Macaca fascicularis: one gene and its partner. The protein of the gene in region 1 purifies or fractionates together with the protein of each later gene. This does not show direct contact. Links are inferred from orthologs where the notes say so. Each region holds a gene or a part of one and is shown in the gene's direction. Other genes may lie near its edges. The genes, in order: SOX9 and FBXW7.

Region 1 (10,774 bases):
CCAGAGCAGTTAGCAAACTCTCCCCAGGCAGGACGACTCGGCTGACGTTTCTGACTCGGCCAGGAGGCAAAGACCAAAACGTCAGAGCAGTAGCCCTGTTACTGAGGAGCGTCGGCGGGGTCGCGGGACTGGAGAAAGACTTGTCAGAGCTCAAGGTCGGTGTGGCGCGGGGCGGCCCCGAGAGCGCGGGGATCCTGCGTGGCCACGGCCGCCGCTGCCAACCTTCGCGGGGACTTAGCTTTGCTTTCCATTGACTCCCTTTGCAAAAGCGCAGCAGAATCCTGACCAGCCGCACCAGCCCCGGCGAACCCGAGCATGTTAATCTATTTATGTGGATTATTACGGAGGAACAGCGGGCGTTGAGTCACCAAAACATTTGCTTCAAAAGACTATTTCTAAGCACTTTTGCAGGCAGGCAGGCCCCAGGCGCGTAAACTCGGCTACACATTAAGAAGCGGCTGCTTTTCGAATACTACAAACTCCAGCTAAGTCCCCTGTGCCGCGGAGAGAGCAGTGAAAATAAATGTCGGAGGTGGGGGTAGATCCTAGTCTAGACATACACACTTGCGCGCGCGCGCGCACACACACACACACAAAGATTCGCGCGGAGAAGTCACTAAAATTCTGGCATTCCGAGAGTTCGACAAACTTACACACTTGGAAGTCCCGGGTCCCCCGCCTTTCCCGCAGCACCCCCCGCCCCCCCTTCCCGACCGTCCACCCTTCGGCTGCGCTCCCCTCCCCTCTTCTCCCCTCCCGTCTCGTCACCCAGCCCAGTGCCGCAATCCTCCTCCCTCCCCAAAATCGGGTCCAATCAGCTGCCTGGGACTGCTGTGCTGTGATTGGCGGGTGGCTCTAAGGTGAGGAGGAGTATTTATTAAAGAGACCCTGGGCTGGGAGTTGGAGAGCGGAGAGCGGAGCTCGAAACTGACTGGAAACTTCAGTGGCGCGGAGACTCGCCAGTTTCAACCCCGGAAACTTTTCTTTGCAGGAGGAGAAGAGAAGGGGTACAAGCGCCCCCACTTTTGCTCCTTTTCCTCCCCTCCTCCTCCTCTCCAATTCGCCTCCCCCTACTTGGAGCGGGCAGCTGCGGACTGGCCCCGCGCCTCCCTAAGTGGTAGCCGGCCGACGCGCCAGCCTCCCCGGGAGCCGCTCGCTCCGCATCCGGGCAGCCGAGGGGAGAGGAGCCCGCGCCTCGAGTCCCCGAGCCGCCGCGGCTTCTCGCCTTTCCCGGCCACCCGCCCCCTGCCCCGGGCCCGCGTATGAATCTCCTGGACCCCTTCATGAAGATGACCGACGAGCAGGAGAAGGGCCTGTCCGGCGCCCCCAGCCCCACCATGTCCGAGGACTCCGCGGGCTCGCCCTGCCCGTCGGGCTCCGGCTCGGACACCGAGAACACGCGGCCCCAGGAGAACACGTTCCCCAAGGGCGAGCCCGACCTGAAGAAGGAGAGCGAGGAGGACAAGTTCCCCGTGTGCATCCGCGAGGCAGTCAGCCAGGTGCTCAAGGGCTACGACTGGACGCTGGTGCCCATGCCGGTGCGCGTCAACGGCTCCAGCAAAAACAAGCCGCACGTCAAGCGGCCCATGAACGCCTTCATGGTGTGGGCGCAGGCGGCGCGCAGGAAGCTCGCGGACCAGTACCCGCACTTGCACAACGCCGAGCTCAGCAAGACGCTGGGCAAGCTCTGGAGGTAGGGCCCAGCGGGGGCGGCGCGGCAGGGTGGGCATCGTGGCGGCGGGGGGCGCTGGCCAGGGCTGACTTGCCCCGCCCCGCCTCCCATCGCCCGGGAGTTGCGGTTCCGGGAGCCGGCGGGATGGGGGTGTGGGAGTGGGAACGGGGTGTAACTGTGGCTCAGAGTTTGTCAAAGTTCTTGGGCTGCTCGCGGGGACGCGGAGGAGGGGGTGGTAAGTGGAAGGGGTGGGGGAGGTAGCTGGAGGATGGACGAAGACTGGTGGGAGACGGAAGGAGGGGGCTGCCATCCTGCCTTCCCGTCGCCTGGAAGCTCAATCGGGGCGGGGAAGTGAAGCTTGGCTTCCCCCACCCCGCCCCTTAAAACTGCACTGTCTCGTGCAGCCCCCTCCTCCCCACACACACACACCCCCACGGAGATGGGGCAGGGGAGAAACCGAGGTTGGAGGAGACCCTTGGCAGGAATTGGAAGGCGGGAGGAGGGAGGCTGCTGGAAATAGGTGGGAGTGTATGGGGGGGTGAGAATTGGAGAGTAATTGGGGAAAAGTTTTTAAGGGTGTTGGGATTGGGGGCGATAACTCCAGCAGCAAAGGCGTTTAGGGGGCAGCAGCAGGAGTCGTTTTCATCTTCAGCGTTTCCAAAATAGAAATAAAAGGGGAGGGGATGGAGGGGGCGGGGAGTGACCGCTCAGGTCGGACTGCAAGAACTTATTTATTTATTTGTTTATTTTTAAGAAAAGTTATAAGCCGTGGTTGCAGGCGGGAGGGAAGATGGAGTTGTATGCAAAGGAAGCCAAGTGGTCTGGGTCGCCGCCTCCTCCCCGCCGACCTGACAGTTTGGCGGGTTTCACTGACCCCTCTCCCTCTTTTTCTCTGTGTCCCCCGCCCCGCCCCGCCCCAAGCAGACTTCTGAACGAGAGCGAGAAGCGGCCCTTCGTGGAGGAGGCGGAGCGGCTGCGTGTGCAGCACAAGAAGGACCACCCGGATTACAAGTACCAGCCGCGGCGGAGGAAGTCGGTGAAGAACGGGCAGGCGGAGGCAGAGGAGGCCACGGAGCAGACGCACATCTCCCCCAACGCCATCTTCAAGGCGCTGCAGGCTGACTCGCCGCACTCCTCCTCCGGCATGAGCGAAGTGCACTCCCCCGGCGAGCACTCGGGTGAGTCGCCCCTCAGTCCCGCAGGACAAGCCACCCCGGCCCGCCTGGCACACCCCCTGCCCTCCACCTGGGAGATTCTTTGTGGAGACTTTATGCTTCCCGGGAGGTACACACTACCCTTTGCCCCTGTCCCGCTCCCCCTCTCTACCCAGAGCCTAAGAGGCACCCAAACACACACACATACACACACACACACCCCAACTCAATCCCAGCATCCGAAGAGATTAACTCTTTTTATTGGGAGGTAAAATGCCCTTACAAGCCTTACGAGACCTCCCCCTTCTTCCTTTGCTCCCCCACCCCAAAAGCATACACAGGGCTCTTCTACAAGTAGCAATTTGTTCTTCCGGACCCTCCGGGCCCCAGACCCTCCCCTGATAAAAGGGGGCTGTCCAGTGTGTACCGGCGGGTTAATCATTGGGCGAGTTATCTCCGGTGCAGCGCGCCTCCCGCGCGGGTGCGGGCCCTTACTACACTTTAGCAGCGAGGGAGGGTCCCCGGAGGGTGCCTAAGACTAGGGCGTCTGCACAGCACTTGTTGATTTTCCCGTGCTTGTTCTTTTATTGTCCGCAGGGCAATCCCAGGGCCCACCGACCCCACCCACCACCCCCAAAACCGACGTGCAGCCGGGCAAGGCTGACCTGAAGCGAGAGGGGCGCCCCCTGCCAGAGGGAGGCAGACAGCCCCCCATCGACTTCCGCGACGTGGACATCGGCGAGCTGAGCAGCGACGTCATCTCCAACATCGAGACCTTCGACGTCAACGAGTTTGACCAGTACCTGCCGCCCAACGGCCACCCGGGGGTGCCGGCCACGCATGGCCAGGTCACCTACACGGGCAGCTACGGCATCAGCAGCACCGCGGCCACCCCGGCGGGCGCGGGCCACGTGTGGATGTCCAAGCAGCAGGCGCCGCCGCCACCCCCGCAGCAGCCTCCGCAGGCCCCGCCGGCCCCGCAGGCGCCCCCCCAGCAGCAGGCGGCGCCCCCGCAGCAGCCGGCCGCGCCCCCACAGCAGCCACAGGCGCACACGCTGACCACACTGAGCAGCGAGCCGGGCCAGTCCCAGCGAACGCACATCAAGACGGAGCAGCTGAGCCCCAGCCACTACAGCGAGCAGCAGCAGCACTCGCCCCAGCAGATCGCCTACAGCCCCTTCAACCTTCCGCACTACAGCCCTTCCTACCCGCCCATCACCCGCTCGCAGTACGACTACACCGACCACCAGAACTCCAGCTCCTACTACAGCCACGCGGCGGGCCAGGGCACCGGCCTCTACTCCACCTTCACCTACATGAACCCCGCCCAGCGCCCCATGTACACCCCCATCGCCGACACCTCTGGGGTTCCTTCCATCCCGCAGACCCACAGCCCGCAGCACTGGGAACAACCCGTCTACACACAGCTCACCCGACCTTGAGGAGGCCTCCTATGAAGGGCGAAGATGGCCGAGATGATCCTAAAAATAACCGAAGAAAGAGAGGACCAACCAGAATTCCCTTTGGACATTTGTGGGTTTTGTTTTTTATTTTGTTTTTTGTTTTCTTCTTCTTCTTCCTTAAAGACATTTAAGCTAAAGGCAACTCGTACCCAAATTTCCAAGACAGAGACATGACCTATCCAAGCGCATTACCCACTTGTGGCCAATCAGTGGCCAGGCCAACCTTGGCTAAATGGAGCAGCGAAATCAACGAGAAACTGGACTTTTTAAACCCTCTTCAGAGCAAGCGTGGAGGATGATGGAGAATCGTGTGATCAGTGTGCTAAATCTCTCTGCCTGTTTGGACTTTGTAATTATTTTTTTAGCAGTAATTAAAGAAAAAAGTCCTCTGTGAGGAATATTCTCTATTTTAAATATTTTTAGTATGTACTGTGTATGATTCATTACCATTTTGAGGGGATTTATACATATTTTTAGATAAAATTAAATGCTCTTATTTTTCCAACAGCTAAACTACTCTTAGTTGAACAGTGTGCCCTAGCTTTTCTTGCAACCAGAGTATTTTTGTACAGATTTGCTTTCTCTTACAAAAAAAAAAAAATTCCTGTTGTATTAACATTTTAAAAAGAATTGTGTTATGTGATCAGTTTTGGGGGTTAACTTTGCTTAATTCCTCAGGCTTTGCGATTCGAGGAGGAGCTGCCTTAAAAAAATAAAGGCCTTATTTTGCAATTATGAGAGTAAACAATAGTTTAGAGAAGCATTTGGTAAGCTTTATCATATATATATTTTTTTAAACAAGAAAAAACACCTTGAGCCTTAAAACCATGCTGCTGGGAAACATTTGCGCTCTCTTTTAGTGCATTTCCTCCTGCCTTTGCTTGTTCACTGCAGTCTTAAAAGAGGTAAAGGCAAGCAAAGGAGACAAAATCTGTTCTGGGAATGTTTCAGCAGCCAATAAGTGCCCGAGCACACTGCCCCCCATTGCCTGCCTGGGCCCCATGTGGAAGGCAGATGCCTGCTCGTTCTGTCACCTGTGCCTCTCTGAACACCAGCAGTTAACCTTCAAGACATTCCACGTGCTAAAATTATTTATTTTGTAAGGAGAGGTTTTAATTAAAACAAAATTTTTTTTTCTCAATTTTACCTTCTTTAAAATAGGTTGTTGGAGCCTTCCTCAAAGGGTATGGTCATCTGTTGTTAAATTATGTTCTTAACTGTAACCAGTTTTTTTTTTTATTTATCTCTTTAATCTTTTTTTATTATTAAAAGCAAGTTTCTTTGGATTCCTCATCCTAGATTTGTATAAATGCCTTTTTGTCCATCCTTTTTTTCTTTTTGTTGAAAACAAACTGGAAACTTGTTTCTCTTTGTACAAATGAGAGATTGCAAATGTAGTGTATCACTGAGTCATTTGCAGCGTTTTCTGCCACAGACCTTTGGGCCGCCCTACATCGTGTGTGTGTGTGTGTGTGTGTGTGTGTGTGTGTGTTGACACAAAAACAATGCAAGCATGTGTCATCAATAATTCCTCTGCATCTTCTCTTGGAGTGAGGGAGGCTACCTGGAGGGGATCAGCCCACTGACAGACCTTAATCTTAATTACTGCTGTGGCTGGAGAGTTTTGAGGATTGCTTTTTAAAAAAGACAGCAAACTTTTTTTTTTTATTTAAAAAAAGATATATTAACAGTTTTAGAAGTCAGTAGAATAAAATCTTAAAGCACTCATAATATGGCATCCTTCAATTTCTGTATAAAAGCAGATCTTTTTAAAAAGATATTTCTGTAACTTAAGAAACCTGGCATTTAAATCATATTTTGTCTTTAGGTAAGCTTTGGTTTGTGTACATGTTTTGTTTGTTTCACATGTTTCCCTCCCACCCCCAAACCTTTTGTTCTCTCCGTGAAACTTACCTTTCCCTTTTTCTTTCTCTCTTTTTTTTTTGTATATTATTGTTTACAATAAATATACATTGCATTAAAAAGAAAATGGCCCTGTGGATTTATTCACCCAGTTCTCCTGTTGGACGACTTGGCAAATTTGAGCACAAAAGACATCGTGAAGTGCTGACGACTGTGATGTTTTTTATGAGCACCTTTGGCAATCCTAGAAAACATGCTGAGGAAAAGACTGTGTATCTCCAAACATCTAGGCAGAGAAATCTTGAAAAAGTGCCACTTGAATATTTCGATCACACAGAAAATTACATGTCAGTAGTTGCCCACTCTGGCAAAAATGTTTGTTGTGGTTTTCATGACCTCATGCTTCAGGGCAAAAGCTGTCCCTTGTGGAGGTCAGAGGGAATATTAGACTGAAATCAGGAGCTCGTCAGTAGACAGAATGCCAGAGGGGTGACTTGTTTCTCTGGTTTTAATATGGCAAACTTTCTGTCCTATGAACACATACCCAAGAAATGGAGTGTCCATTTAAAAAGCAAAGGAAGCCAAAGAAAAACAATGTCTACAGGGAACCAGAGGGAAGCCTGTCGTATTAACCCATTAAATGATTCAGAGCCTTCCAGATTTCTCTGCAGAAACAATGAAAGGGGATGATTTTTCTGCTCCCTCCAGTTTAACTCATTCTAAGCAGACGCAAAGCCATTGTAGAAGAAACAAGACCTAATCCTGTTTTCCTTGGCCCCGGTTAGATGGGGAGTTTCCAGGTTCAGAGAAACGTTCAGGTCATTTTTCATTAAATAGATGAAATCACTCTTTCCCTCACATGGGCACACCTCCCCACCCCCACTCCCACACCCCAGCTGATTGGAGAAGTGTCTCTAAAGAGTCAGTCACCTTCACCCTCTCAGGCTAGCTTTACTACTAGGCCTGTGTCTCTGACAGTCTTAACCAGAGTCCAACCTCTCTGGCATTACCTCACATTGTCTGTTTCTGCTTATTGGATTCCTGGCTGACATCCCACACCAGGAACATGGCAACCAGGAAAATGGTAGTTATCAAATCGAGTCTACATTAGTACTCGGCCTCCTTTGCAAATTCCTTCAACAAACATTGATTGAGGGCCTGTGATCTGCGGGGGACTGTGCAAATCCTTCCCTACCCCTTCAGACATCAAATTCTGTTCCTTGTTTGTGACATAGCCTTCCATGCACTGAGGCCCTCCGCTCTTACAAAATCTCTATTTTTTTTTCTCTTGCCAACACTCACAAAGTCCTTTGAAAAAGTCTCTGTGGTGTTCACTAATTCTTGTCTACCTTATTCATTCTAATCCCTTTGTCTATTAAAATCAACACACACCATTCCACTGTGACTACCCCCTTCCCTAGCAAATCTGTATGTTTGTTGTACTGTTCTTTCTTCCAGAAACATGCTCTTTTTTCCCAGTATGTGGCCTTTGCCAGGACTTCTTGAAGCTGAAATGTCCTGTTTGAACATAAACTTGTGAAGGGACCTGAGGCAAGTTGTTTTGCTTTCCTGTGCCTCAGTTTCCCCTTTTGCTGAGTATGTTTATAATTCCTCCTACATAAAGCAGGTTGTTAATAGGGGAGATTTTACCCAGAGCAATCTGGGAATTGACTGCATTGGAGTCTCCTGGTCTGTACAGCAGTCTCCCTGCATTAGAATTCCTGGGAGTAATACCCAGGAAAAAGTGTTTCATAAGCTACCCGAGTGGCTCTGATACACAGTAAAACACAAGAGACACAGAAGTGCTGAGAGAGAATTCCTCAGAATCCCACTCACCCCCATATCTATCAGATCTAGTCAAAGCCCAACATCAACAGATTATAAAATATTTTGGAGGAATTTTTAGTCTAAATCCAGAAGCACGGAGCTTATCACCCTGGCAACAGCAACATATTGATTGGAAACCAAGGAGAGTCCTCTACACCGGAAAGAGTTTGTATGTAGATCCAGGGTTATTTATTTGTTTGTTTGTACTTAAAATAAAACCTTTTCTTTGCTAACCATTTTAACAAAACTGGAATTTTTAGCAAAAGGGAATAAAAATAAACTCATTTAAGAATCAGTCTTTTGCTCTATTATTAAAATAGAACCATGTGGATTCGTTTGAGCTGTTTGACTTTCCCACTTCAACTCCATCCCATCCCTTTCCTTCCCTGATTTCCAAAATGAATGTTTTTGAGGCAGCATGGTGGCACTTTTTATATTAAAGTAATTGATGAACTATCACTACAGCCAGAGATGGATTTACTATGAAGCAAACAAAGCCCAAGCTTCAGTGCCTCTCAAAAGCACAGGCTCCTTTTAAGGCTCTAGACTTATTCTTGACTTTTTAAAATTGAAATTATTTTTCTTAAAGAGCTTCTCTTCAAAAAAAAAAAAAAAAAAAAAAAAGAATAAGCTTCATGCCCCACAAAAGCTGGATCCGCCCCTGACCACACCTACTGGCCAGTAAACTGCAGCATTAGAGGCTGCCGTAGAAGATAGCAAGATTTCTTTCTGTTCTCAACAGTACCTGAAGCATAGTAGGTGCCCTTCCATTGTATCCATGAACATGATGGTATTGCCAAAGAAGACACTGGAATCTCTGCAGTAACACTCTACCACTTGTCTTTACACAGTTTCTCATCCCTCTGAGAGTCAAATGAATTTTCGCTTCTCGAATGACCTTCACTTGTGGGCATAAGACAGGTTTCTTGCACACCAGAAACGCAATGACCTGCCCTCCTATTCTTTCCCTTCCCTTTTCCTGCTCATACCTTTTCTTCCTTTCTTTGCCACCTCTCCCCTGCATTTTCTCAGAGTCTCCCGTTGACTCCAACAGCTGAAAACTCTGCTGGGCCCTGATTGAGCTATTCCTCTTCCATCAAGCACAGACTAGAACTATTTTACTATGAACTTCTGGAGAATCGTTCTTTTTTGACCAGATACAACATGGGCCAGGTAATCTCAGAAAACAACCAGGCTAAATTTGGGGCAATAGTTCCCTGAAGCTATGGTTAGACACTTCCCTTGAGTATTCAGGATTTTATATTGAGCTTCATCCGATCACCATTATTTCCTGCTGTCATATTCCACTCTAGAATGATTCCCACTCCTCATTCTTTCTGTAAACATTTGATTAGGATGCAGCCATGAACAAGAAAGACTGCCCCATGGGGCTTACATTTTCATGAAGAAGAGGCAGGCAAAAATAAATAGTACTTCCTGGTCTTTCCTTGTTTGCATGCCATGGGGGAAAAATGCAACTCATTAGGGCCAACTGGGAGAACAGGCACAGGGAAGGAGGAGTTGATGGATTTGGAAATGGTTTTGGTGAGAACATGCTGAGTTCATTTTTCCTCTCCTGATCTTCATCTCTTTTTCAGTGATATAAAATTGACTCCATTTACATAAAGGGAACCCACTCTATTTTTACCTTAGTCACTCTCTCCTGCCCCTCTGCCCTACCCCCCAATAACCCTCTATTAGTCTCTCTACCTCTTAATGAACCATGGATTCATGGGTCTCACAATCATCTTTTTAGCAGAGACCCCAAGAGAAAAATCCAGTCCCTAGTATCCAAAGAGTCTTTGGATCTCTAGAGATTTGGTTAATGTAGCCTGCAGAAATGAGGAAGGAATCAGAAATGAGGAAGGTATAAAGAAAGGTCTTTTAATTTATTTGTGTTTGCATTGCAAAAATCTCTTATACATTATCTCAGCTATTGAATACTTCTCCATCGCTTCCAGAATACCTGCATGGATTGAGAGCTCACATGCACCATGGAGATCTTTAAATGTGGAAAAATCTTACCTCTGCACTTTCCATGCAATGGCCCAAGGTGGCCCACCTCCACAGCAGAATAATGTGTGTCTTATCCTTCTTCCGAGTGACAGCCTTTCAACTATGTGTGTAGTTTTAAAGTTTTCTTTTACTCTTCCCAATCTAAACACTTACAATACATTTTACGTATGATAGGGCTCCCAAACCCTTTTATATTTGACAGCCTTCTTCGAATGTACTTCACTTACTAGTATTCTCAAATGAGTGCACTCGGATTTTTTCCAGGACTCCAAATACTTGGCTAACATGGAAGACAAATAGATTCATCATTCTTGTCATCAGGAATCATGTTTCTATTAATTTAAATTAAAATCATATTAGCTCTTATAGCAGCCAAGTCACCCAGTTATGTTATGTTAAGTAATTTCTTACCTATCCTGTAATTGTGCAATTGATTTTTCAACCCAAGTTTTACATATCCTCCTGTTTTGACTGGAGTATGACATATACAGGCCCAATGGAAGAAAAAAATGGCAAAGGGATTTGCATTATTGAGCCCTTACTTTGGCAGTCACTGTGACAGATGTTGTATATACATGATCTCATGTAATCCATTTAACAACCCTTTGAGACAGGTGTTCTTATTACAGTTTTATGAAGAAGGAAACTGAGGCTCAGAGAGATTAAGCAATTGACCTAAGGTCATGTGACTAGTAAACGACATAGGTAACTACCAGAGGCTCCCCCCATCCTCTCAGTTTTCAAAAGAAAATTAGAAATAGAGTTCATAGTGGGAAAGG
Region 2 (11,397 bases), on another chromosome or scaffold:
CAGTCAAGGATGTAAGTGTTTCAAAAGTTCATTATGATAATAAACACTTTGATTTGAAGACTGTTAATTATGATATATATCAATCAGAAATGATCTGAAGTCATGCCACACAGAATATATAAAAATTATTTCTTGTCTGTCAGGCAAGCATTTAGGTCCTATCTTCAGTGAATTTACATTGTAGTAGGATAGAGAACAAAGTTAAACAACTAATAACATTTTTTTAAAAAAGAATTATTAAGTTGAGGCTCACAGAGCAAGGCAAGAGCAGAGACAGAGAGCTTTAATCAGTAGTCCCTGAAGAGGTAAAGAGTAGAGTGAAGTTCATAAAAACCATAAGGTGTGTGTATGTTTTTTATCTGGTATATATTTGTTAGGACTGAAGTTACTGCCTTTCATAATTTTAAAAATCAGAGTGCAGAATTATATTTATCAAGTATCTCATCCTGTGGAGAATAATTAACTTATATAATATATATATTTATTTAAATATGGGTATTATACTATGCATTTTTTTCTTAGTTGGCACTCTATGTGCTTTCATTCCTGGAACCCAAAGACCTGCTACAAGCGGCTCAGACATGTCGCTATTGGAGAATTTTGGCTGAAGACAACCTTCTCTGGAGAGAGAAATGCAAAGAAGAGGGTAAGGTTCAAAATTGCACAGAGAATATGTTTATACTTTGAAAAGCAGAGTGATTCTGAAAACAAGTAGAAAAAATAAAAATAATATTCACCTACTTATAATAAAATCCACAGATTATTCTACACATTGAAATGAGCCAAATCTTACAGCTAACCCCTTTAACAAGCAATATAACTAATAGCAAATATATCTGATTTGCTTCCTATCACTAGTAGAATTAATAAACAATGAAAAAGTCAAGATGTGGATGATTTAAAGGAAACCCCAAAATTACATTTCCAATTAAATATCCAAATATTTAGTATTAATTAATTCTTTTCATAAATGTTTATTGAACACCTCCTATGAGCCAGACATTTCTTCAAGGTGGGGGATATAGCAGTGAACTGAAGTTCTCTTTCTGTCATGGAGCTTATGTTCTTGAAACCTATTTTTTTCCTTAGTAGAGGAATAGTTATCCTTTGTATTGGGAGAGCTGTTTTGTTGTTTTTATTGTTGTTTTCCCCAGCAGACATCCAGAAAAATATTTTTGAAAAAATATAAAAGTATTATGTGCCTCAGAAGCAAACTTTTTTTAGAAAGAATCATAGAGCATGATGCAGGTACTCTATAGGTGATCATTCCATTCATGGTGGTTATAGTCAAGTGGGAAGCATTGATGGTTAGTCCAGTTAATAAAGGTTTGAGGTAAAGATCCAGGGTACTTGGTTTCTCATCCTGCTTTTCACCTCTGTAGGACTTGGATTAATTAGTGAAATCTTCCTTCTTAAGTATCTGTATACATAAAGTGGGATTAATCTCTGCCTTCCCTTCTCCCATATAATCATTTTTTTAATGATCTTTTAAAAATTGTAATAACATATATGTAGTTTATCAATTTAACCATTTTTATATGTACATTTCAGTGGCATTAAGTACATTCACGTTGTTCTGCAACTATCACTATCATCTGTGTTCAGAACTTCATCTTCCTCACATGAAACTCCATGCCCCCTGTTATAACTCCCCATTATTCCTCTCCACAGCCTCTGGCAACCACCCTTTTACTTTCTGTCTCTATGAGTTTGACTACTCTAGCTACCTCATATAAGTGAAATCATACAATATTTTTCCTTTTGTAATCAGCTTATTTCACTTAGTGTAATGTCTTCAAGGTTCATCCATGTCATAGCATGTGTCAGAATTTCCTTTATTCCATTGTGTATATGTATCTAATGCTACATTTTGTTTATCCATCTGTCGATGGGCCCTTGGATTGCTTGCACCTTTTAGTTATTATGAGTCATCCTGCTATGAACATAGGTGTACAGATAACTGTTTAAGGCTCTGCCTTTAATTGTTTTGCTTATGTATCCAGAAATGGAATTGCTAGATCATATGTTAATTCTGTGTTTGTTTTGGGGAACCACCAGACTATTTTCCACAGCAGCTGCACCATTTGCACAAGCATTCCAATTTCCTCACATCTTCACCAGCATCTTTTAGAATCATTTTGAGAAATGAAATAGTGAATACAAAAATATGCCATATAAAGTGCAAACTTTACATTATTGCTATATACTGTGATAACAGTATTAGAAATTGGACAATGTCTTACATTTCAGTGGTTTCAAGCAGAGAGAAAGATGGAATACTTTATAAAATGTATAATTGTTATTGTTGGTGAAGGCAATTTACTCTTGACCTCTAACACTTCAGGGATTGATGAACCGTTGCACATCAAGAGAAGAAAAGTAATAAAACCAGGTTTCATACACAGTCCATGGAAAAGTGCATACATCAGACAGCACAGAATTGATACTAACTGGAGGCGAGGAGAACTCAAATCTCCTAAGGTAACTGAACTCTGCACAGTGTAACAGAAACCATTAATCAGTGTTAGTACCTAGTGTACTATTTCACTTCTTGGCAAACTGTATAATTTGACACTTCTCTTCTGTGGAAAGAAAACCATATATTTTAAAATAACTGAAAGTATTACTGACAGTATTCTTTTATTGCTAATTAATCTGACAACTAATTGTGCTTGAACAAAAGATAAGTTAAATTGAGTATCTTTTTATCTTACTTAAATGAAAATCTCTCAATATCCTGTTGAATTGTACTGTGTCATACACATTCTACCTGAGAATTTGCTGCCTTCTCTGATCACATAGTCCAAACATGATTTTTTGAGGAGTGTCTGTGTTTTGGTATTGGTGGCTTTCGTGTGTCTTATTTTTATAAATTGAAGCATAATTCTGGTTTTCTGTATTAAAACGTTTCAAATATATAAAGAATGTTAAGAACACTTTAAATTATTGAGCATATTTTTACAACTGGAAAAAAACAGTTTGGGGAGACATTGTGATACTAATATGTATATGTTATAGATTTTTTTTGTTTTGAGAATGCTAATAATTGTTACTCTTTGTGGTTAATAGATGCGTATTTTGTTCTTGTGTGTCAAAGTTGTAAAAATTAGAGGCATATTCTTCTGGTTTGAACAGATAAAATAGATTATTGTCAAATACATTGGTGTTCGAACCATCTTCATGAGGTCTTGATGCAGTAAAACTTTAATAGTTGATGTTTTGAGTATAAATAATAGACTATGGAAACAATAAAATGTTTAATTCTGAATTCGTCAGCCAGGAAAAATAATGCTTTATATTTTATATAAATTATAATTCTAGAGATAGACTACAAATTACCGTTCCAGTTTGTGCCTTCATTTTTCTCTTCACCAGTGTTTTAAAGAACATAATTTAATTAACATATTTCTAATCTGTACATCTATCTTATAGGTGCTGAAAGGACATGATGATCATGTGATCACATGCTTACAGTTTTGTGGTAACCGAATAGTTAGTGGTTCTGATGACAACACTCTAAAAGTTTGGTCAGCAGTCACGGGCAAAGTAAGTTTACTCTTCCTACACTTCACAAAGTCACAATTTTGTGTATAGCATTGCAAGTAGCAACTGGAAAAAAGAAAATCAGAATTCATTCTTGATTCTCAATTATTGGGATAGCAAATATCAGAGCTCGTAACTTAGCTTTTTCCCCCATATTTATGAAAATCAATGGCATGAGGATAATGATGTTTCTCATGATAGAGGTTTCATTAATTTTTTTTCATTTACATAGTTTGTGACAGATATTTTAACATTTTCAAGGGTGCTTTATATTTTTCTTGGCTCAATTTTTCCCCACTTTTATTTACTGTCTAAGTTATACCTCATTACTTTGTAATGTTTTTCAGAAGTATGGTTGAGGGGTATTTATTTTTCCTTATGAACTGCTTTGTTGATAACCTACCTATTGTTTAGAACTTAATAAATCATGTTAATTTATACTTATCTCAAACCCTTGTGAGATGAGAGTGGACTAGGCATTTAAATGTAAGTTTGAAGAAAAAAGTAGCCCAAGCAATCAGCTTGACCGTGTACTATATCATACCTTAATGATTCTCTAGCAAATATTTATTTGTATCTGTCCAGTAGAGAATATTTTCATGAATTAAGTAATTGCCACCTAAAAAATAACAGAAGAGAGTATGAAAACAAAAAAAAATCCATGTCTTTTAAAATGTCTTTTACCATGGTGCTTCTTGGCAAGTATCTTATAAATACGCCAAGTCAGATGTTAAAATTTTTTAAAGCAGCTTTATATTTCCATAGTGTAATATTAGTTTGGGATTTATTTCAGGGCCTTAATGTCTGTCTTTACTTGTCTAGAAGTAGCTTCACTGGCTCCTAACTACTGCCCTGGGGCAGATTCAGATGAAATGTGGTATGTAGCCACACCCAATACTGTTGGCATACTTTCATTGAATCTATTCCCATGGAAGAAACCCAGTTGCAATTTCAGTATTTTTTCATCAAAGAGACCAGAGCTATCATAATTGCTTTCATATCATGTTTCCTTTTTATTATATCATATTTTATATCATATGTTTGCTTTCTACATGTTCTTCAATTGCTTGTGCTTATATAAATTTATAATGCTTTGAATAAACAAAACTATAAATAGTGATGGGATCATTTTATACGGATGTGTAAAATAATATTTTCTGAAGAGCCAAACGAATAAATAACTTTACTCCAAATTTTAATGAGCTATTAAATTTTATTTAAATCACTTTTCCTTTCTACCCAAAAGTAATCATCTTAAGTGTTTTTCCAGTGTCTGAGAACATTAGTGGGACATACAGGTGGAGTATGGTCATCACAAATGAGAGACAACATCATCATTAGTGGATCTACCGATCGGACTCTCAAAGTGTGGAATGCAGAGACCGGAGAATGTATACACACCTTATATGGGCATACTTCCACAGTGCGTTGTATGCATCTTCATGAAAAAAGGTAAGGGAAAATCTTATCGTGGTTGGGACTTCTTCCTCTATTATTTGTGAATTTGGGCCCTTTCTGTATAGAGTTACTGAAATAGTGACAATGAGCTCTTAAATTACATTTAATTATTAGACTTCAGATGGTTCTATTCTAGGAAAGCCATAGTGTTTTGTCTTAAAATTGGGGATTGTCTGTAAGTTTCCTTTTTCATTTGCTAGTGTTGTCGGCTTCCTCTTTGAAGCTCTCTACTCTCTAATCCTTTTTATTGTTCTGTATCTTTGATGACTCATCATGTTCAAGCAGAAATCATTTTTTCTCTCTCTTTTTTTGATATTCTTACTTCTGCAAGTGGGACAAATTCAGGCTTCAAGCGTCTGAGCCTTTTTAAATTACCTACCCACCTTACACCCACCCTATCTCTTAAGTCTAGGCAAAGGCTGAGGCCTGTGAGTAATTTGTTCTCTCATTCTGAACTAGTGTCACAACTTTCTAACTTGGTCATCTTACATTTTATATGCTGACATACAGTCCTTTTATAATTATGATAGTGTCACTGCCCAGTTCTTAAGTCTTTGTGAGCCTACTGTTGACTAACGAATTAAGGAAGAAATCCTCAATCCAGTTTTCAAAATGGTGTCTGCCAAACTAGATTGCTTGACTTTTTCTTCTCAGTGCCTTTGCTATTACTTTTATCTCCTCCTGTAAAGCCCTCCTATTAAAATCCTATCTTTCTATTATCTTCATCATACCCCTGTTAAACAAGTGTGATTTCTGCCTCATTTGTCAAAAAAGGTCTCTCTGAAAGGTCCTTACAGTGAATCAATGGCAGTCTTTACCTTTAATTCTGTCTATAGCATCTTCTTATATTAAGAACCATTACATTAAGCAGATTTCACACCAGATTTGTAATATGTTTTCATTGTGTTCCATTGTGTTCTGACTTAAATCTCAACCCTTTAATTTTCTAATTTTTCCAATATGGAAACTGTGGTATTTCTTTTATCTCTTCAGAATGAATGACATAAGGATACCTGAGTTTTCAGCTTTGTTTTGTAATCCAAAAGTGATTACAGTATTTGCATATTGCTCTGGTTTTCAGGAGAGTGTAGCACTAATGTTGAACCACATGTTTAAGGGATAGCCATTGTTTTTAAAGATGTACATATCTTTAAAGATCCATATCAATATTTTTATAGCCTATTGCATATTTATAAATCTAATCATTAAAAGCATAAGCAGCCTGTGTTTGAGGACATGTCTAAAACTGGTTAATTTTTACTGGAATGTATAGTGTAAACACAAATCTGCAGCTGTTTAAATTCCAAATCCTGACTTGTTTTGTTGTATAACCTTTATTGAATTTTTTACCTAATCACAAGGGAATATATGCATCCATAATTGAAATTTTGGAAAATGGCAAAGAACATAAAGAAGAAATTTAAATTCTTTAAACTACTACCACCTAGAGTTCTCCCATTAACATTTTATACACATGCCCACATTAACATTTTATTTCTAAAATCAAAATCTTATTGTATATATTTAGAGGCAGCTACTGCTGCTTTTAAAAAAAAATACAGTGCAGTGGTTTTCAAACTCAGTCCCACAGAACCTCGAGGTGCTGGAACTAAGGTCCACAGGTCAGGGAACCAAGCATGAAGCATTCTAGGCTTCCCAACTTCCCATTCCCTTATTGTATGTTTATATACCAAGGTTTTACATAGGATTTCTTTTGACAAGAGTTGTTCCTGTGTAAGAAAAAGAAAGCTAAAAAACCTTGACTAAATCTATCATGTTTTCTCATATTATTAAAAATTCTAAACATGGGTTTTTTTGTTTTGTTTTGTTTTTCTGTTTTTCCCTCTGCAGAGTTGTTAGCGGTTCCCGAGATGCCACTCTTAGGGTTTGGGATATTGAGACAGGCCAGTGTTTACATGTTTTGATGGGTCATGTTGCAGCAGTCCGCTGTGTTCAATATGATGGCAGGAGGGTTGTTAGTGGAGCATATGATTTTATGGTAAAGGTGTGGGATCCAGAGACTGAAACCTGTCTACACACGTTGCAGGGGCATACTAATAGAGTCTATTCATTACAGGTAAGATCTCTTATCTGTCCCTTAAATGCTCTCCTGATGAATCATAAGGTTGTTTTACTCAGATAATCGCTGTCAAATTGCTGCTCCAGTACAATCCAAAAAAGATTAACCAGATTATTCTGCTGTTTTTATATAAATTTCAAAATTATTTAGATGCTTTCAATTTTCTGTGATCTATTTCTCCTCTAAATACAAATATTTGTCTTGTAACCTGACAATTTGGGACTCTAAGGTTTGCTATATTAATTAATGGTTAAATAGTCTCATAGGAGAGTAACCTGGATTTTAAGAAACTCCTTTGCAGAGGATTAATATGGCCCAAAGCTGACCCTTTGCTTTGATAGCTGAAAGTTGATGGACCATGTAATTGTGATTCCATCCCCATTCAAAGTGGAAATAGATCCTTTCTGCATAAAGCACTCTACTGTCCCAGGCCCACTGATTTGTAGTCATAAGGAAGTAAAGTTGACTAAACAGATTTTTTTTTTTTTTTGGTTTACATTTCAAGCCCATATCCTTGAAAACATTGCCATATTTTAAGATCATTGACTAGATGAATAGGAAGTTTAGAATATGAATCTTGTTTTGTTTCCAGAAAGGCAACATTTTCAATGTAAAAATATTTCCTACAGCCTATATAGTTTATTTATCAGTTATTGCCCATTAATGTTCAGCAAATTAGTACATAATCTTAGTACTGTCAATTCTGTTCTTAGGATATTTGTTTCTTTGTCGAAGGAATATTGTCCATGTCATGAAATATTGACAATATGATCAAGATGTTTGCTAAATTAGAAAAGGTGATGAATTTGGAGGAAGGGAAATTGGCTGCACCTGTTTGTGATATTCTCAGAAGCTTAATGAATATAATATTCTAATTTAAATAACCCCATTTGATTGAGAAAAGAGGTAGCCACATTATTATATAGAAATGATAGATTGTTGTTGACTTTTGGTGTAGCTGGGAAGCTGGAGAAGAGGTGGTATGTAGTTTGCTTTTGATAACAAAATGCCACCTCTTCTGATTCCAGATACAGTTATCTTTTGGCACATTTCCTAATTAGCATTAGGTTCTTATAAATGAAATTTTATTTTACACACGGTTTTTAATGGAACTTACTTTTGAACATCACGAAAGTTATCTCTAGCCCTTTTCATGCCTTAAGTGCTGATAAGCACTCCGTTTATCATAAGCTATGTCATTAGTCTTAGCTTCCTAGTGGGAAGGAAAACTCAAATAGCAATTCTCTCAGTCACCCATGATATATAGCTAGGTGGGGCCAGATGATTTGAAAATTAATATATTGTTCATTTTAGGTGCTTTGTTTTCATTTTAAGTTGCTTCTGCATCTAGTTTGAAGCAGCTTGGCATAAAGATGAAACTTTCTGATAGAAAGGTGTGAGAACATACATTGTAGAATGGCTTGGCATGCACTTTATCCTCATTGCCACTTTACCTTAGTACCTCATTTTGTTCCTGGCATTACCCATTTCCCATCCTCTTCCCCCTTTCCTACTAGGATTAAGGTCAGTAATTGATATGAAGAGCATCCGTACTTCTATTCTAATAAACTGTGTCTTTTGTAGTTTGATGGTATCCATGTGGTGAGTGGATCTCTTGATACATCAATTCGCGTTTGGGATGTGGAGACAGGGAATTGCATTCACACGTTAACAGGGCACCAGTCGTTAACAAGTGGAATGGAACTCAAAGACAATATTCTTGTCTCTGGGAATGCAGATTCTACAGTTAAAATCTGGGATATCAAAACAGGACAGTGTTTACAAACATTGCAAGGTAAGTATTAGTTACGTTTAGTTTTGTTCATTAAAAATGAGATCATTATTCAACGGAAATATGGAGCTTTAGCATTACAAAAAGAGTCAACCTCATACGGAATGATTACTTCAGAAAAGTTTATGCATATTTTCACCCTGACTTACAGAACTAGTCTACTCTTGAGGAAATGTTTTGAACTGTGTTTTTAATATATAATATAAAATTGTTTAATCACTTCCTGCATGTTCAATTGACTCTACTTAACCTTTAAGAACAGTGAGAAGAAAGATCTTGGCTATATCATAGAAGCAACATACTCATTATATTTTTTTGATTGGCCATTGCATTTTGAATTTGTAGTCCAATTTTGAAGGGCTACCTTATTGAAAAAAACAAAAGCATCCTTGATAGAAAATTTATTTGGCCTCCTCTTAGTCACGTGCTTAACTGGAATGGAGAGGAATAATAGTGCCTACTAAAATAAGAGAAAGAAACAAGTGAAAAATCACTAATATTAGATGAGGTACAGCAATGCCTCATGATTAACTTTTTCTATTTGTTATAGCCCTTAGAAAGCGTTTTTTTCTGGGGTGGGGGAGGGGGGGCGGCATCTGATAGGCAACATTGCAGCTTTTTACTCATTGGTTTTGTCTCTTCTCAGAGTTTTGGAATAGTGACCATTCAGCTTTGAGTGGTTCATAGTGGTGGAGTAATAGATCTCTTAGTGCTCATTTGTCCATCAGCAGTATGTATGGAGTTGCACTATCTGCATCCTCACCAAGGAATGCTGTCATTCACACAGCCAGAAAATAAGACATTTGTCTGGTAGCTAACCAAGGTCTTGGAAGACAGGCCTCTTGAAAGTTAATGTTTCAGTTACAAATTGCTACCAGATTTTCTTATATCCCTGCTGATCCTAAAATACTGAGGACATAGGTTTCTAAATATGTATCATTTCAAATGTTGCATTTATTGTATGTTGTAAAGTAGAAGTCTACAAATTATAATGTAACTAACCCATAGCCATTATTTCTAACCAGTAATTAAATTCTTTTGGTTTTTGTCTAGGTCCCAACAAGCATCAGAGTGCTGTGACCTGTTTACAGTTCAACAAGAACTTTGTAATTACCAGCTCAGATGATGGAACTGTAAAACTATGGGACTTGAAAACGGGTGAATTTATTCGAAACCTAGTCACATTGGAGAGTGGGGGGAGTGGGGGAGTCGTGTGGCGGATCAGAGCCTCAAACACAAAGCTGGTGTGTGCAGTTGGGAGTCGGAATGGGACTGAAGAAACCAAGCTGCTGGTGCTGGACTTTGATGTGGACATGAAGTGAAGAGCAGAAAAGATGAATTTGTCCAATTGTGTAGACGATATACTCCCTGCCCTTCCCCCTGCAAAAAGAAAAAAGAAAAGAAAAAGAAAAAAATCCCTTGTTCTCAGTGGTGCAGGATGTTGGCTTGGGGCAACAGATTGAAAAGACCTACAGACTAAGAAGGAAAAGAAGAAGAGATGACAAACCATAACTGACAAGAGAGGCGTCTGCTGTCTCATCACATAAAAGGCTTCACTTTTGACTGAGGGCAGCTTTGCAAAATGAGACTTTCTAAATCAAACCAGGTGCAATTATTTCTTTATTTTCTTCTCCAGTGCTCATTGGGCAGTGTTAATGCTGAAACATCATTACAGATTCTGCTAGCCTGTTCTTTTACCACTGACAACTAGACACCTAGAAAGGAACTGCAATAACATCAAAACAAGTACTGGTTGACTTTCTAATTAGAGAGCATCTGCAACAAAAAGTCATTTTTCTGGAGTGAAAAAGCTTAAAAAAATTACTGTGAATTGTTTTTGTACAGTTATCATGAAAACCTTTTTTTTTTTTTTTTTTGCCAACCATTGCCAATGTCAATCAATCACAGTATTAGCCTCTGTTTATCTATTTACTGTTGCTTCCATATACATTCTTCAATGCATATGTTGCTCAAAGGTGGCAAGTTGTCCTGGGTTCTGTGAGTCCTGAGATGGATTTAATTCTTGATGCTGGTGCTAGAAGTAGGTCTTCAAATATGGGATTGTTGTCCCACCCCTGTACTGTACTCCCAGTGGCCAAACTTATTTATGCTGCTAAATGAAAGAAAGAAAAAAGCAAATTATTTTTTTTTATTTTTTTTCTGCTGTGACGTTTTAGTCCCAGACTGAATTCCAAATTTGCTCTAGTTTGGTTACGGAAAAAAGACTTTTTGCCACTGAAACTTGAGCCATCTGTGCCTCTAAGAGGCTGAGAATGGAAGAGTTTCAGATAATAAAGAGTGAAGTTTGCCTGCAAGTAAATAATTGAGAGTGTGTGCAAAGCTTATTTTCTTTTATCTGGGCAAAATTTAAAACACATTCCTTGGAACAGAGCTATTACTTGCCTGTTCTGTGGAGAAACTTTTCTTTTTGAGGGCTGTGGTGAATGGATGAACGTACATCGTAAAACTGACAAAATATTTTAAAAATATATAAAACACAAAATTAAAATAAAGTCGCTGGTCA

The links.
Region 2: the proteins of SOX9 (region 1) and FBXW7 purify together in Homo sapiens (affinity purification with western blotting; 4 studies listed by BioGRID and IntAct, with this or other methods). This does not show direct contact. The link is inferred for Macaca fascicularis from reciprocal best matches to the Homo sapiens genes SOX9 and FBXW7.

Annotation. Positions count from the first base shown.
Region 1 is NC_088390.1:78,445,935-78,456,708, forward strand, and holds SOX9 (transcription factor SOX-9), read left to right. Parts: upstream 1-902; 5' UTR 903-1,262; coding exon 1,263-1,693; intron 1,694-2,596; coding exon 2,597-2,850; intron 2,851-3,423; coding exon 3,424-4,268; 3' UTR 4,269-6,279; downstream 6,280-10,774. UniProt on the Homo sapiens protein: Transcription factor that plays a key role in chondrocytes differentiation and skeletal development.
Region 2 is NC_088379.1:157,239,306-157,250,702, reverse strand, and holds part of FBXW7 (F-box/WD repeat-containing protein 7), read left to right. Parts: intron 1-522; coding exon 523-646; intron 647-2,344; coding exon 2,345-2,481; intron 2,482-3,432; coding exon 3,433-3,546; intron 3,547-4,813; coding exon 4,814-4,995; intron 4,996-6,852; coding exon 6,853-7,078; intron 7,079-8,665; coding exon 8,666-8,876; intron 8,877-9,926; coding exon 9,927-10,195; 3' UTR 10,196-11,397. UniProt on the Homo sapiens protein: Substrate recognition component of a SCF (SKP1-CUL1-F-box protein) E3 ubiquitin-protein ligase complex which mediates the ubiquitination and subsequent proteasomal degradation of target proteins.